Cricetulus griseus: one gene and its partners. The protein of the gene in region 4 interacts with the protein of the main gene of each other region in a pairwise test. Links are inferred from orthologs where the notes say so. Each region holds a gene or a part of one and is shown on either strand. Other genes may lie near its edges.

What was found.
Region 1: the proteins of Znf24 (region 4) and Dzip3 interact in binary tests that used the Homo sapiens proteins (3 or more experiments, as listed by UniProt). The link is inferred for Cricetulus griseus from reciprocal best matches to the Homo sapiens genes ZNF24 and DZIP3.
Region 2: the proteins of Znf24 (region 4) and Ccdc130 interact in binary tests that used the Homo sapiens proteins (3 or more experiments, as listed by UniProt). The two-hybrid records come from large-scale screens. The link is inferred for Cricetulus griseus from reciprocal best matches to the Homo sapiens genes ZNF24 and YJU2B.
Region 3: the proteins of Znf24 (region 4) and Znf446 interact in binary tests that used the Homo sapiens proteins (3 or more experiments, as listed by UniProt). The link is inferred for Cricetulus griseus from reciprocal best matches to the Homo sapiens genes ZNF24 and ZNF446.

The regions. Positions count from the first base shown.
Region 1 is NC_048597.1:42,076,719-42,080,934, reverse strand, and holds the start of Dzip3 (E3 ubiquitin-protein ligase DZIP3), read right to left. Parts: upstream 2,801-4,216; 5' UTR 2,508-2,800; intron 1-2,507. Other genes in the region: protein CIP2A, read left to right, coding at 2,975-3,076. UniProt on the Homo sapiens protein: E3 Ubiquitin ligase proteins mediate ubiquitination and subsequent proteasomal degradation of target proteins.
Region 2 is NC_048596.1:160,144,661-160,148,718, reverse strand, and holds the start of Ccdc130 (coiled-coil domain-containing protein 130), read right to left. Parts: upstream 2,801-4,058; 5' UTR 2,677-2,800; intron 1-2,676. UniProt on the Homo sapiens protein: May be involved in mRNA splicing.
Region 3 is NC_048602.1:25,556,328-25,560,439, forward strand, and holds the start of Znf446 (zinc finger protein 446), read left to right. Parts: upstream 1-1,312; 5' UTR 1,313-1,630; intron 1,631-1,815; exon of another isoform or gene 1,816-1,964; intron 1,965-1,971; exon of another isoform or gene 1,972-2,279; intron 2,280-2,410; 5' UTR 2,411-2,450; coding exon 2,451-2,792; intron 2,793-2,866; coding exon 2,867-3,071; intron 3,072-3,350; coding exon 3,351-3,445; intron 3,446-4,112. UniProt on the Homo sapiens protein: May be involved in transcriptional regulation.
Region 4 is NC_048595.1:213,152,927-213,157,045, reverse strand, and holds the start of Znf24 (zinc finger protein 24), read right to left. Parts: upstream 2,801-4,119; 5' UTR 2,671-2,800; intron 2,538-2,670; exon of another isoform or gene 2,403-2,537; intron 2,305-2,402; exon of another isoform or gene 2,155-2,304; intron 2,149-2,154; exon of another isoform or gene 2,008-2,148; intron 1-2,007. UniProt on the Homo sapiens protein: Transcription factor required for myelination of differentiated oligodendrocytes. Required for the conversion of oligodendrocytes from the premyelinating to the myelinating state.

The DNA of each region.
Region 1 (4,216 bases), on a different chromosome or scaffold from region 4:
TGGAGAGACTATCTAGACAAAATTTAAACCACAGACAGTAATAAAAGCTTACAAGGAGGGAAGATTTTATGCTAATCCTTAAAGAATGAGTGAACTGGACTCATCTAAAATAACATAGTAGTAATAACAATCTACTTTTCCCAGTAGCACTTAACACAGCTCGCCCAGACTTTAACTTTTCCTGACTAGTTTTTATGTCAACCTGACACAAAACCAATATTTAACCAAAATCCCAAATGAGAAAATAGGAAAAGTATTGAAAATTCTAACTTAAAAACATAAGGTATGGAATCCTGAGTAAAATTAAGTCTTTTTGTTACTGCTTTTGTGACCTTCACAAATTACCAGATGTTATACTTTGTAATCTATAAAATGGTGGTCATCTCAATAACTGCACTGTTATGAAGATTAAATAGTCCTTAAAAAATCCTTTGATGGATGCCAACTACTCAAAAAAGCAGCATAATTCACTGTATTACTTTAAAAGGGAACCAAATGTATAAATGTGAACGTCTGGAGATTTTAAACAGGGTTTTAAAAAACAAAGGAGATAAAAGAGCAATGTCCTAAACAAAAACAACTATAAACAGTGGATTATAGTGTTGAAAAATCTTTCCTGTCACCATGTCCCATGTTGTAGAGATTATATTAATGCAATAAACTGAGACAGTATACAGGAAGAAATTATTTTAATAGACTATATATATGTAGGAAATCTGAGATACACTAAACTTTTGTACTTAACAAAATTTTGGTTAAGTAGCTGACTTAAGATACACCAAAACCCAGTACACCTTTATTTTAGAGTAACAAAAATTCACGAGAAAATTTGTTACGTAATAAGTATTATAATACATAGGAATACACTTAATTAGAAAAGTACACAACTCACAAAATACATAAAATTTCACTGAATCTAAAAGATTATCTATACTTTCTTAATCGCACAATCTAGAAACTTGGAATTTCTTCTAGATTGTAAAGATGGCACTTGATGTAGGCAGCTTGGGGCCTTTCCTATTTGTCAAAACAGGGATGATGCTCGACACTTGTCATTATATGTGAAAAGTCTTACAGTATATTCTTACAACTCCATTTACCAATGACTGTACTTACCACAGAAGACATAATTTTATTAGTCAACAACTTGCTCTTCACATCGATTAACTGATTTGGCAATAGTCTCCAAGACCATTATATGACCTGCTTTTTTTTCCATCACTACTCCTTTCAGGATTCCTGTATGGCCACTACTAGCTCAGGCTCTTCCTGGCACCCTGCCATACTCCCTCTTGACTTTTGTCCACCTCATTCCAACTAATAGGCAGCATTTTCTCCTACAAAGTATGGTTGACTTCTCAAACATTGAAAGTATTTCCTCCAATGTTGTCTTTTTGTCTTGTTGTTTGTTGTTTTAAGCGAGGTCTATTCTGACTCTTCTTTTCCTGTCCTGATTATCATTATTCTAGAGTATTTTTTTCTCTTATCGTATTACGTTTTTATTACCAGAATGTTAAATCTGATGCTCATAGACTGATCCTCTAGTGACCAGAGCAGTGCCCATCCCAAAGCAGAAGCTCAAATAACTGTTTATTGAACAATCACGTGAAACAAGACACTCTCAGGTATCACTTTAGAAAAAGACTGGAGCAGTGAAAAAGCAGCCACAAAGAGAAAAAAGTGCAAACCAAGTTTAGAAGTCAACTGGCTCCACTCTCTCTATTCACGGTGCACTTCTTACTTATGTAGTGAATTCCAAGAGTACTTTTCTATTTAGACTCTTCCCCTATTCCCCTAATTTAATTAGATGGTGGCTTCTCGGCAGCCAACACCTCCTCGTCTTTGTTCAGGGTGGCAATCCCTAGTCCCTCATACGCATTTGTTTAAAACGGAATGAATGAACAGATGCATCAATGGGCACATTATCTACAAATTCTTCCGTGAATAACAACAGCACGATCATTTTTGGTCATCAGTTACATTTACTTTTATGTTTCAATAAAAGAATAAATCAAGTCTTTCAAAAGCAGCAACGCAAAAAAAAGTTTCCCGAATTCACAAACATTTCAACCCAAATGTCTTAGTCAAATGGGCAAGGACTCTCTTGTACGACCTAGCTTAGTTAACCCAAAAGCTTTTGAACTAACCCAGTCGCGGGCTCACTTCTTTAACACATCCATGCACACCACCTCTCATACAAAAAAAAAAAAAAAATCTCAACAATGCCATTTTTTGTTTGTTTGTAGCCACTTTAGTATACAAACTAACCAACCGTGCGGGGCAGGAACAGACACCTTCGCCTACACCCGTCACCGCAGACGAGGACACTGAGCTCAGGAGGGGGTGTGACAAATTCTAGGGTAAGGCCCCGGCTAACTTGCCACGGAATAGCGACTGCCACAGGTTCGGCCGTCTCTGGATACCGGGGACCGATGCTGGAGGGCCCGAGGCCGCTCCGGCGCCGCTTCCCAGCCTAAGTCACAGAGACACAGCCCGGGGTTCCTCACCGTGCTAGACTAGGGGGAGCGCCCGCGTCTGGAGCCGAGGCTGACGCCCGCACCAACACCAGGCCCCGCGGCGAGCGCCAACGCCGAGGACGCCCGCCGAACCCGAGCCACGCCGCGCACCGACCCCCGGGCTCCGCGCAGCCCCGCCACCGGTTGAGCCACAGTCGCGCGTCTCGCGAGATCCCGCGTCTTCGCGGACCTCCAGCTGAAACCTCGCGGGCCCTGGGCTGAAGGGGACCGCTGCGGGGTTCCCCGCCACCTCCCCGCTCCCGCAGAGCCGCGACCCTCCGCCCACCCCGTCAATCACAGGCCTCAGTCCCCCGGGCCTCCCGGAGACTTCCGGAGGCCGACCGGAACCGGAAGCGTCTAGGGTAGGAGGGGCGGGGCCTAAAAATCAAAAAAAGCGCGGCCTCAGCTGAAGGCTGCGGGGCTGCTGGTTGTGGCCGCTGACAGCACGGCGCCTCGGGATGGACTCCACCGCCTGCTTGAAGTCCTTGCTCCTGAGCATCAGCCAGTACAAGGCCGTGAAGTCGGAGGCCAACGCCACTCAGCTCCTGAGGCACTTGGAGGTAAGGGTTTTCCGGCGCCGGTCGGGGCTCCCTTCGGGATTTCTGTGTGCCTGTCGCTGCTCGCACGGCCCGGCCCGGCCCGGCCTGGCCCGGGACCTCCCTGCAGCCCCTTGGCTGTCCTTGCACTGGTGACGTGTTCCGGTGGTCCAAGAGGGGGACTGCCCGGGTCCCGACGATCTCCGAGACGGAGAGGGGAGGGGATGCTGTGAGATAAACCGGTTTGGACTCTGTTTCTGGCTGGAATGCTGAGGCTGCATTTTCTTTCCCACAGCTTTGAGTGTGAGTGTGTGTGGTGATTTGGTCTTTCTTTTAGGTGCCTATCTTCTAAGTGCATTTTGTCTTCTTTGTCGAATATCGAGTGGCTTCTTTCACCCAGGATATATAACCAGGGAAATTCATTCAGGTTGCACGTACGTTATGTGTAATTCCATTTATCTAAGTGCACCGCAGGCTATGTATATTTACCTCTTAATAGACATCTGGGTTTTACCCAGGTCTGGATAGGATTATGAACAAGTGCATTCCAATCATACATTTTTTTAATGCATTTGTTTCTTATACACCTACTGATAGTATCAGGTTACAAGAAAGGCCTGTGTTTCCCTTTTTGTTATTTTAATTTCTTTAAGTTTAATTGTGTGTGTGTGTGTGTGTGTGTGTGTGTGTGTGTGTGTGTGATACCTGTGCACATGAGTGCAAGACCCTCAGAAGGCAGAAGAGGGCATTATATCACCTGGAGCTTGATGTGGGCGCTGGGACTCAAACTGGGGTCCTCTGCAAAAAATAGTACATTCTTCTATCTACTGAGCCATCCAGTCCACATCCACTTTTATTTTGTATTGCTAAAAACAGTTTTCAAAAGATTATAGCACTAGTAATATATCAACACTGCCATCAGTCATTCAACCATCCCATCCTTAGTTCTTAGTATTTACCTTTTTGAGGGCAATATTATCTTTTTAATGGTCGATATCATACAGAGCACTGAAAGTTGATCCTGAGGGTACACAAGTATATGTGAAAAGAAAATAGTTTTTTTTTTCTTTCATTTTTCTAAACTTCTGCTGCCATAGATTGACTTTATAACACCACACAAAACCTGTGCTTTGAGTCATTTCATGATTGTCAGGGCCAAGTTAA
Region 2 (4,058 bases), on a different chromosome or scaffold from region 4:
CTGAGCCACCATACTGACCCCAATTTTATTTTTATTGGTAGGTTTTTATTACATGTAAGTGTAACCTGTCTTCTGATATTCTAAATGATTTGTACTTTATCTTAACCAAAAGGCTGAACTGTAGTCCCCCAGCCACTTAAAACTTGAAAACTGGGGCCAACATTATGGAAGGAGAGAACAGACTTGATCTCCATGTGTACCAAGACATATACCCACACACCGGAATACATACAAAATAAATACATAAAATATAAAAAAGGTTTTCTTTCTTGTTTTGTTTTTTCAAGATAGGGTTTCTCTGGGTAAGAGCTCTGGCTGTTCTGGAACTTGCTTTGTAGACCACACTGGTCTCAAACTCATGCCTGCCTCTGCTTCCTGCTGGGATCAAAGGTATGAGTCACCACTTGAGCATTTTTTTTTTTTTTTGAGACAGGGTTTCCCTGTGTAGCTTTGGAGCCTATCCAGGCTGGCCTCGAACTCACAGAGATCCTCCTGCCTCGGTGCCCCCTCTCCCCCGCAGTGCTAGGATTAAAGGCCTATGCCACCAACACCCGGCTGGCTTGAGCATTTAACAAAACATTTATTTTTAAATTGTGTGTGTGTGTTTGGGCTAGGTGGTGGAGGCACACGCCTTTAACCCCAGCATTCAGGAGGCAGAGGCAGGTGGATCTCTGTGAGTTTGAGACCAGCCAGGTCTACAGAGTTAGTTCCAGGACAGCCTGCAAAGCCAGAGAAACCCTGTCAAAAAAAAAAAAAAAAAAAAAAAAAAAAAAAAGGAAATAAAAAATTTGTGTTTGTATGTGTGTGGTGTATGTGCAACACACCCATAGAGTCTAGGAGAAGATGTCAGATTCCTTGGACCTGGAGTTACAGGCAGCAGTGAGTCACCTGACATGGGTTCTGGAAACTGAACTCAACCTTAAGAAAAGCAGTATGTCTCTTTACTGGCCAAGCCCTCTTTCCACCCTAAGTTAAAACAAAACAAAACATAAAACTGTGTGTGTGTGTGTGTGTGTGTGTGTGTGTGTGTGTGTGTGTGTGTGTATGTGTACAGGTAAGAATGTGTCACAGTGTACGTAGGTCAGAGGACAACTTGGAGGAGTCAGTTCCCTACTTCCAACATGTGGGTCCAGAGATGGAACAGTTTGTCAGGCTTGGTGGCAGGTGTCCTCACCTACTGAGCCATCTCACTGCCCTCTCACCCAAATACTTTTGATGACCAAGTACTTAAGTGCCCACCCAGGTTTGGGGTTACAGCTGCTTTGGTCTCTGACTTTCCTGGAGCTCCCACTTCTTCACCTGTCAGGAGGGAATAAGGTGTAGGGTGTGATTGGTCTTGCACTCAGGGGGCAGAACCCAGGTTAGACTGAATTCCAGGCCAATCTGCTCTACACAGCAAGTCCAGGTCAGCCAGAACTACACAGTGAGACCCTATCTCAAAATGCAAAAACAAAACAAAAAATGAAAATGGGGGGTACCAACAGAAGGGATGACTTTGGGGCTTGCTTTAAGTGTATGGGGGCTGCTTGTAGTATAGACATCCAGCTTGTGAATCGGTGTGGGCCTGGGGTCTGTTTTAGAATGTTTAACATAGGTTTGTTTTGGAGACACGCCCCTCTATGTAGTCCAGGCTGGCCCTGCACTCCAGATCCTCTAGTCTCAGCTTCGAAAGCTTTAAGATGGTTAATCACCATAGGGAGTACCACAGCCAGGTTACACAGGCTGCTCAGGTGGATGCACAGGGATGAGGTCATTCCTGACCTCACCTGCCTGAGCAAATGACAGCCTGAGCACTTCAGTCTCCTCTGCTGTTCCTAGCTGCCTGACTCCTGGCTGGCTGCGGTTGGGAGTCGTAGAGGTGTTAAGCATTAAGAAGAAAGATCATGGGACAAAGAACAATGGCGATTTCAGTTCTTCTACCTACTAACAATTTTAAAAATAATTATGTGTATGGGTGTGAGTTTATGCACCAGTGAGTGCAAGTGCTCAAGAGGCCAGAGGGTTGGATTCTATGGAGCTACAGGCAGGAGTGAGCTCTGGGAAACGAACTCTGCAATTAACGGTTAACAGCTTGTACGGCTCTTTTTTCTTTTCTTTTTTTTTTTGGGGGGGGGTTCGAGGCAGCGTTTCTCTGTGTAGCTTTGAGCCTGTCCTGACACTCGCTCTGGAGACCAGTTTGGCCTCGAACTCACAGGCTGGGCATTGGTGGCTCACGCCTTTAATCCCAGCACTCGGGAGGCAGAGGCAGGTGGATCTCCGTTAAGGAGCCTCTCCAGCCCCTTAAAAATTACGCGTGTGTGTGTGTGTGTGTGTTTGGGAAGCGTGTCACGAAGTGTGTGTAGGGCAGAGAACGTCCTACAAGAATCGACTCTTTACACTATGCTCGGGGGTCGAACCCACGTCGTCAGGCTTGGCTGCAAGCGCCACTGCCAGCTCGGCCACCTCGCCGGCCCTCAAGCTACAGTTCCTAAGCACCGTGTTCCACACTTGGGCTTGGAGGGCTCATCTTCCTCATGAAGACGGCTAGGGGAGCCTTTGACGTGAAACCGCTGCGGGGCCCTGGGAACCCGGGGGGGGGGGCGCAGGTCTCGCGTCTCCCGCGCCAGGCCGCAGGGGTGGGATTGAGGTCCTGCCACCCCCGTCGCCGCTGCGGACCGGTCCGCACCCCGTACCTACCTGCCCTCCTCCTGACGTCACGCCGCTACCAGCCCGGAAGCAAACCCGGCGCCGCGAACTCTCGGAGTGCCCATCTCCGCGGAGCAAAAGCGCCTGCGCGAGGCGGGGCGAGTCACTTTTCGTCATCTTGATTGGCTAAGATTATTATAGGTCTACGAATTCCGGAAGAGCTGGGACAGCCCCGCCCACCCCGAGGGGAGCTCAAGCTGAGACCGCTGCGTGGCCCCGCCCTCCCTCCCGGAAGTGCTAACTTGCCACCGCCCAGGCCGGGAGACTGCGTTTTCAAAAGAAGCTGATTCGTCATCCTAAAACTTTGATTAATTGATTTTTGAGACTTTTTTTTTTTTTTTTTTTTTTTTTTCCGGTAGCTCAGTTTGGCCAGGAACTCATTATTTTGCTGAGGATGACACTGAACTTCTGACTCGATTTGTGATCTCTAAGTAGTGGGATTACTCGTGTGCTGCACAGCACCGGGTTTTGTTTTAAAAAAAATTACATTTATGGCTCAGCGTAGTAACCAACAGCTTTAATCCCAGCTTTCTAGAGGGAGAGGCAGGTAGTCTGGTTTACACAATCAAAGGACAGTCGGGTACACAGTGAGACGCTCCAAAAAAAAAAAAAAAAAAAAAAAGTGTGGGTGAGTGCTGGGTTGCCGCGAAGGTGAAGTTGTCAGGCATGGAGCGTTAGAGGGATCCCCGTGGACTTCTGGGCATGCATGTGGGGCACATACATACATGCAGCCAAAATATCCATACAGGTAAAATAAGTAAGAAAGAAAGAAGAAAAAGGACTTTCATTCAATGTTTCCACTTTGGGAAGAGAGACAGATAGATTCAGGAGGAACCACCCAAGTCCTGAAGCGAGATCAAAGTTAAACAAAGGGACAAGGTTAAGCACCATGTAAGCAGTCCGGGTTAAGGTGTGGCTCCGCCCACCACTGACCCATCACTGGCTGGGCTTCAGGCTCAGTGGTCTGACAAATTCTTAGAACTGTGTGAAATTATTTTCCAGAAGAGAAGTTTCCCTTCTGGCTGGTGCCCTTTCCTTTGCCCAGCGAGTGATTCCCGGGAAAATCCCTATTTCTCTGGGGTTCATTATCTCCATAATCTGATAGATTGAGAGATATAGGAGTCTCTAGAATATCTTCATTTCTGCCAGACCTGTTAAAAATCAAAAGTCAGAAGCATGGGAGATTCTTGAAGTCCGCTTAGCTTTTATAAAAGGAGCCAGCTGCTGGGGGAGGGACTGACAAGCAGCTGTGAGAAGAGACACTCAGACCTGCTTTTGAGTCATCATAAGAAACCCTGATCCATTCTTCTGTTTGTAACCCTAGTAGAAATTCGTTAGCTTAACAGGTCAGACTTTGGTGCAGTCTTTACTTT
Region 3 (4,112 bases), on a different chromosome or scaffold from region 4:
CCTGAAGCACAGAGAAGGCTTGGGAGCCAGCTAACCTTGGACGGGAGCCCTAGAACAGAGATGCTTCCAGGGACAGCTGCTTCCAAGAGGACAGCTGCCTGGGAAGTCCCTTAAAGCCCAGCCTCTCCCCACTGGGTGGGTATGAGAGCTTTGTCCACAGAATCTATGAAAGACCTCATCTCCCAAGATAGTTCAGCTGGTAAACCCAGTTGACAAACTCTACCCGCACAACTGCTCAAGAGTTTCAGATGTGGAGAACTGCTGCTCACTGCTAGCTGCTGGCAGCCGAGGAGGGGGTTCTCAGGAATCAGAAAAAAAAACAAACAAACAAACAAAACAAAACAGAATAGACAGATCCGCTTCAGGACTGAATGATTCTATCATGGTTCAGACTCTTGGTATGTGGAAACAAAATTAACCTCATGTGCACATAAATTTAATAGCCCTTACTTGCTGTGTGTGGTGGTTCAGACCTTTAATCTCAGCAATCAGGAGGCAGAGGCTGCAGGATCTCTCGGTGAGCTCCAGGCCACCTGGGGACTTGAGACCCTACCCCCCCCAAACAAACAAATAAAAGCCATTAACTTTATTTTTTTAACAATTTAACTTTGTTTTTAAATGTGCGTTGGTGTGAAGGCATCAGATCCCCAGAACTGGAGTTACAGACAGTTGTGAGCTGCCATGTGGGTGCTGGGAATTGAACTCTGGTCCTCTGGAAGAGCAGCTAATGTTGTTAACCTCTGAGCCATCTCTCCAGCCCCTCACCTCACCCCATTAACTTTATTTTTAAAAAGCCTTTTTCCCAAAAGACTTTGGAGAGGGAAAAAAAAATGAGTAAGGGCCACCTTGTCTAACTGCAGCCTCCAAATTAAAAGTTGAGTGTGTCTCATAATCTCAGACAGAACCCTCCATCTCCATTTGCAGTAGTACCGCTATCTAAAGAGGGGGTGACCACATGGTCACCTCCTCTGAACGCCTGCTCGCCCACCCATGGGCCTATTTACTTAACGGACTATAACAAAGGCCATACTGGGTGTGCTCGCCCAACGCTGCCTCCCACCGGGATCCTCTGGAACTCGCACCTAGGTCTTCTCGGCCGGCCGCAAGGCCACGCTTACAGCGTTGCTTTGGCAACCGCAGAGGTGCGCTCGCTGTTACCTAGGAGACACACGGAGCGATGCTCCCTTCTCGTAGCTGAGCGCCCGGCTCTAATTGGGCAGAACGCCTCACCAGCCAATAGGAGCCAGGCGCGCTGCACACATGCGCAAGGAGGCTACGGTCCCGCAGCCCGGGTCCGCAGTGGGTGAGTCCTTCGGCTGGGGTGCCAAGGAAGAACGGGTCGCCAAGTCAGGAGAGGGAGCCCCGTCCACCACCACCACCCCCGGAACTCTGCGACACCGCGGGCTCCAAAGGAGAGGAACGGAACGAAGCCGCTGGCGCGCGAGGGGCCCGAGAAACGCGCGCTCCCCCTTGCTGAGGCTCACGGGAGATGTAGTCCGCGCGGAGGGGGCCGTGCCTGTGGGGCCGGTGCAGGATTGGCCAGGCCGGTAGTGAGTGGCGGTGGGGCGAGCGGTGTAGCCTCCCTTCCCGGAAGTGCCCCGAGCTCCTGGGGCGCCAGGAGGCGTCAGAGGTGAGCGAGCTGCTCGACTGGGCGGGCCCAGCTTCTCGTGGCTCCCCCCCCCCCCGAGCTCGAGGAGCGCCCCACTGCCCCCAGCCTTCGAACCCAGAACTCCGGGGGTCCCCTTCCTCCTGAAAGACCCTCCCTCTCCTTTGCTGTGTCAGAAACTGACACCCACCCCACCCCCAACTCTACAGGTGCCCCAGGAGAGCCGGTTTCAACCCAGAACCTCTTAAGGACTGGGACACAGGTTCCAGTTTACATGTCCACGTGATGCACGGCTGTCTGCTTTGGCTTCTGCTTGGGCGTTTCCTAGGCGTAGTGTGAGGCACCCACGGTTTTGTCGGTGAGCAGTGTCACCAAGCTCATATAGGCCCCTGGGAGTTGGCCCAGGCTTTCAGCACTGTCCCGGGTGATGTACCCAGACCCCAGAGCCAACTCTTCAGATAGACCAACACGATCTGCTTTCTGACTGAAGCCTCCAGGGCTCCAGGTCGCCCTGAAGGATGGTCCTACCTGTGCCCCCCTGATCCTTTGTCGGCTGGGGGAGCCACGGTAGTCCTCTGTTGGTAGTCCCAAAGGTTTGGGCCAGCCATGGAAGTTTCCTAGAAGGCCCTTGGACACCTTCCACCCAGGCATTTATCATCCATGCACCCTCCAGGTTGGGACCTGCACCTCCCGTTTCCTTCCTCGAAGCGCTCCTGGCCTTGGGGTTCTCTTTCCTGGCTTCTAGGAGGGGTCTGGTGTGTGCTTTTGGCCTTAGATGACACTCTGGTTCCTCCTTTCCTGTAGGTCCCTCCTGACAGCTCCAAAAAGACCCTTCAAAACAAGAATGCCAGCTCCTCTAGGTCCCCCACACCTCTCCCTCGGGGACTCCGAGACCACCATTGAGGAGCCTGAGGCTGCGCGACTCAGATTCCGGGGTTTCTGCTATGAGGAGGTAGAGGGGCCCCGAGAGGCCCTGTCCTGCCTTCGCGACTTGTGTCACCAATGGCTGCAACCTGAGTCATGCTCCAAAGAGCAGATGATAGAGTTGCTGGTTTTGGAGCAGTTCCTTGGCGTGTTGCCCCCTGAGATCCAGGCCTGGGTGCGAGGGCAGCGACCAGGAAGCCCTGAGGAGGCTGCAGCCCTGGTTGAGGGGCTGCAGCTTGATCCTGGGCAGCTGCTGGGCTGGGTGAGTGTAAATGGCATTAGCTGCTCAGGAGGACAGACTGAAGGTAGAGCCCCCCGTGACAGGCTTCTCTTCAGATCACAGCCCACATCCTGAAACCAAAGACGCTGCTTACAGTCCAGCGGACAAAGGAATCTTCCGGGAGCCGCAGCGTCTCAGTAGCAACGGAGTCCTCCGAGGCAGGCCCTTCGGAGGAAGTACCACAGGGTTCCAGCCTAGACAGATCTACCCAGATCCACTTGGTTGTGAAGGAGGAAGCCAGCGCCGATGGACAGGAGACGGGTAGGTGAGGGGTGACAACATCAGAATTTCAAATCTCTGTGTGTGGGTGTGGGGTGGGGGATGTGGTATCCTAGGAGGGGTTGTGTCGGGGGCTGGGACTCCTGAAATAAGTCTGCATGTCCCCAGCTGGGAGAGGGACCCTGGAGAGATTACAAAGGTGGATTCCTATGAAGCAACAAGACAAGACTGACCTCGCACCATGCCACATGGCAGAGGCAAGCCAAGGCCAATGCAGTCACCACAGCTTGATGCTCCTTCCCGTCTCCTTGTCTTTCTCAGTATCCCCAAGCCCCCTCCTTCCAGCCCAGGCCCCTGAGGGACATCTTGGACACCAGGAAGCAGCCTCCACATCCTCCCACCCAGGAAGGATCCAGGTAAGCAGCCTACAGCAGGAAAAGCAGGCCATGGGTGTATATGGGGTGTCTCTGTTGGTTGTATTCCCACCCTGTGGTTTGGTAGGGTCCTCTGCCAGTGACTCGTGTGTTTGTGCTTTTTGTTTTTACTATTCCTGAGTAGTAAATAACTTCCCTTCCAGCAGGTTCTAAGGGCTGAAGACTAGACTGGTAGGTCTCTCATTGGAAAAGATTTAGGCCTGGTCCAGAGTGGCTAGAGCTGGTGGCCATGGCTTCCTCACCCCAGAGAGGCTAGTTACTGGAAAGGCTTGTTATACCTTGAGGTCATGGGCCAGCTGTTATGTGTGCGGGCGGAGAGGAGACTGCCACGGCAGGGTTCCTGCATCCCTGAGAGCAAATCAAGACACTCTCCCTGAGTATGCCTCAAGTCCCTTCTACTGCCCTTGTCAAAGGACAGTGACCTGGAACCTTAGTTTAAAGCCCCTGCTACCTGAGCGTGCATAGTTGACGTGGAGGGGTAGGGATCCTATCCTCTTCAGGGTCTTTCTGTCCCTGGGCCCCTCCACTTGGGAGCCCCCTACCTCAATAGAGGGTCTAGTTAAGGTGTGCTTCAAGGTTAAGAAACCCCTCTAGGATGTCTCTCTGGTGCCCTCACTTCTGGTCAGCATCGCCTCTAGATTTAGCTGTC
Region 4 (4,119 bases):
GCTGCCAATTACACTATCCATAGTGTAAAAATTTAAATGGCTAAAAAGCATAGAAACATTTCATGATAGGAAAATATGATGTATCAGTCTAGGGTCAACAGTCATTCAGCTGGCAAAGGTACCCTCGATCAAGCCTGATGACTTGAGTCTGATAACCAGCATGTACATAGGAGAGAACTTTACTTCTGCAAGGTGTTCTCTGGTCTCCACAAGTGTGGCATTGCACGTGCATGCCTACACACATACACAAAATGTAAAAATATTTTTAAAAATTGTAATGGTTTATTTTATGTGCATTGGTTTTTGCCTATAAGGGTGTCTGTGTGAGGGTGCTGGTACCCCTGGAACAAAGTTACAGACATTGGGAATGGCCATATGGGTGTTGAGAATTGAACTTGGGTCCTCTTGAAAAGCAGCCAGTGCTCTTAACTACTGAGCCATCTCTCCAGCCCCATAATATTTTTTAAATTTGTTGTTTATAAATCATTAAATTTAATCATGGTTCAGGCTATAAAGGTATCACTGATAGGGTTCAACAATTTCTGCTAAGATCTAAAACAACTTAGGATTTATTTACAACCTGGCCCTTTCCAGCGAAAGACTGTCAGTCTGTGACATATAGTAACAAAAGGCAATTAAATAGCCTAAAGAACCCATGTAAGAATCAACCTATCGAAGTGCTCTCCAAATGTTCTGAACCCTTGGGTTCTGCAAGTAAGAATGCTCGCTGTCCTTGCAGAGGACCCAGGTTTTATTCCCAGCACTACAAACACTCTTCTGACCTCCTTAGGCACCAGGAAGACACGTGGTATACACATACATAAAATAAGAAACTAAATATTCAGAACTGTGGGACTCAAAACTTTGACATTTATTTTGTGTTTATACATCTCCGCACAGGTGTGGGAGTCAGAGGACAAGATGCAGAAACTTGTTCCCTCCTCCTGCTTTGTGGAATCTGGGATCCAATACAGGTTGTCAGGCTTGGAGCAAGCCCCCTACCTAATGAGCTACCTAGCCCGCCCAACTTTTCATTTTGTTTTTGCAAGTCTGGAGTAGGAACCAGGTAAACTGCCTCCCCACCCCTGGGGTTAGAGACTGTATTCAAGGCCAATGCACACTCACGGGCATACACACACACACACACACACACACACACACACACACACACACACACACCACGCACGCACGCACGCACGCACGCGTGCGCGCACTGCTTTGAAGTTAAAAAAACAAAACTGAGGTGTTTAGGAACTTCCTAAACAAAATAAATGTGAAAAATGTTCACTAGTAGCTGGGTATGGTGTCCTAAACCTGTAATCCCAGTACCTAGGTAGAATAAGACTATCCTCATCTACATAGCAAAAACAACTGGGCTGTTAGATCTTGTCACAGATTCACTTTGACACAGTTCACATAACGCTGGAGAAGAAACTATTGCACATAACATGCAAATGTTATTTAGGCATCCACCACCATACATGCATTTAAACTTACTGTGACAGTTAATCAACTGCAGCAAATTCTATTAGGAAAAAGCACTCACAACTTCTCATAATGGCCCAGAGTCTTTTTCCTTAAGTAGCTTCCCCTAGCTTTTCCTTTGGGGAAATCTGTGAGCTACTTTCTGATCCTTTTAGTATTTGCAAAATCATACTGGTGCCATGGTTCACAGCACATTAAGAATAATAAGCTTAGCTAGGCGGTGATGGCACATGCCTTTAACCCCAGCACTTGGAAGGCAAAAGGCAAGCGGATCTCTGAGTTCGAAGCCAGCCTGGTCTACAGAGCCAGTACCAGGGCAGACAGGACTACACAGAGAAACCCTGTCTGGAAAAACAAAACAAAACAAATGAACGGAACAATACGCTTTACAGCTACTGTTTATTTATCAGAGCCAAGAATATTAAAAACACACACACACACAAAACACAGAAACTTAAGAAAATCTTATTGAAACCTGTCAAGAGGAAGACAATCAAAAAATACTGTATCAAACAGACAGACCATATAGATCCATAAATATTCTTGAGTGGGATGATGGCCTGCTAGCAAAATCCAGGTTATTTATTCCTATTCCTGGACCAGACCCTATCAACGGCTCAAGCATTTCTACGTAATAGAAATTGCTTTTTCTTCTATTTTGTACTGCACCAGGCTCATGAGACGAGGAGAAACGCCGTCAAGCACTTGGCGGGATCCTGGTCTTCAACGACCTCCCGCCTCACAGCGCCGAGCCCAGCCAGCCCCAGTAATCCCCGCTGATGTCCTCTTCCCAGCATCCACCGCGAAGGGCCGCAGAGGCCCCAGAACACCCGTCTCCACACAGGACGGGCACTTCCGCCCTAGACCGGCGGGACTACAAATCCCAGAAGGCCGTGCGCGAGAACCACGGATCCCACCTCGGTTTAAGCGACTCCCAGAACGCTCCGCGAGCGGACAGAGCCTCGAAATAGAACAAAACCGGTCGGTGGGGGAGGGGAGGACATATCGGCGAGGACGCGGGCGCGAGAGGCTCGGCGGACTCCCGAAGCGCGGCAGGCCGCCGTCGCCGCCCTTCCGCCGCGGCCTTCTCCGCGCACGCCCGAGACGCCGAACGACGCCGGGCCCTCGGCCGCCGCGCCCCGACCCGCGCCCCCTCCTCGAACCCTGCCCCCGCACGCCGCTGACCTCCGTCTCGGGACCCACCGCAGCCTCGCCGTCCCGGGCAGACGCTGCACCGTCGCTTACAGCCTCTTCCCACAAGCCCCCGGCGCGCACGGCTTCCGGTCCGCAGGACGGGGGGCGGGGGTGGGGGGCAGGCGAAGCCCCGAGTTGCCATGGGGACGCGCGGCAAGCGGGGGAGGTGCGGCTTGATGACAATGGCCGTATTGAAGCCGAGCTTGGCCTTGCGCCTCTGCCAGAGTGGGCGCTGAGCTCTGTTCCACTTCACAAAAAAGGAAAGGGGAGTTAGAGGAAGGTAGTTGGCAGTTTCACGAGTGTCCCGTGCTCCCCGTAGGAACCCTCTGGAGTAACTAACGAAAGTGAACATTTCTGAAAGCCTGTCACAGTCGTGCTAGGCACACACAGCCTCTGTGCTCTGCGTATAAATAATTCCCTTTACCCCCACATCCTATAGTGCAGGAACTTGTAGTCCCGCTTCAGGGCCGACATCTCATTATAAGTAGGAAGTCAGGTTTGCACTTAAACATGGCTCAGACTGTTGCCTCCCACTAGCTGTGTTAACAAAGATTATAACAAGTCATCAAACAAGATGAGGCTAGTTGAGAACTTTGGGAATTTGCACAATCTGAGCATACTGGGTATTTCATGTCAAAAAGCAGCTGCAGTCATAATCAGTCAGACCACCTCATTCCTCTAAAGTCCTCCGGTGCATTACAACTACCGGAACTATGACACTAAAAATTTGTTAAATTGTCCTGCAGTTCGTCTATGGTCTGTTGCCTGCTTTTTCCCTCTGGCTATGTCTCCAGCTTATTGTGGAGCCTCAGCCTCACTGACCAACCCTCTTTCAGGTGGTCTCCATATGCTTAGGGGCACTCTTAGAATTGTGCTTTGAAAGTCCAGTAAAGGTGGAGTCGTCTCTGTCCTCTCTGTCCTGGTTATGACAGTACCCCCACCTAGTTTCAGGATGCCAGCTGGCATATAGAAAACTCAATAAGTACAAAGTTTTCTTTGAATAAATGAATGAATTGTGGGCTGTCGACATTGCAGCCTTTGCTAGGTCACATGTCAAGTCTCAGAAATGGCACAAAAGAGCCCTGTTTTGGAAAGTTTTGTTGGAGCATAGGTCAAGCCTTGCAAAACATTGAAAAGGTCCTCAAGCTTTGCCTTATTGTCTCATTCAGGAAAGGGTCTCTGCAAGTGTCCAGAGCCTCTGTTGGGTCAGTGAATGAGCAGTAAACAAGCAGCTGACCAAACAGCAAGCCATTTCATTCCAGCCAGAGCTCACCTTCCCATAACCCCTGCTAACTCCTTTCTTCACTGGGAGGCTTTATCCAGCATTTCACTGTCCCATTTGGCCTCACCCAGGCTCCAGCTTGGCTACTCTCTTTTGTGACTCCTAAGAGCTCTTCACCCCTCCTCCGTCTTTCCTATGAGAAGTCCATCGGGCTCTTC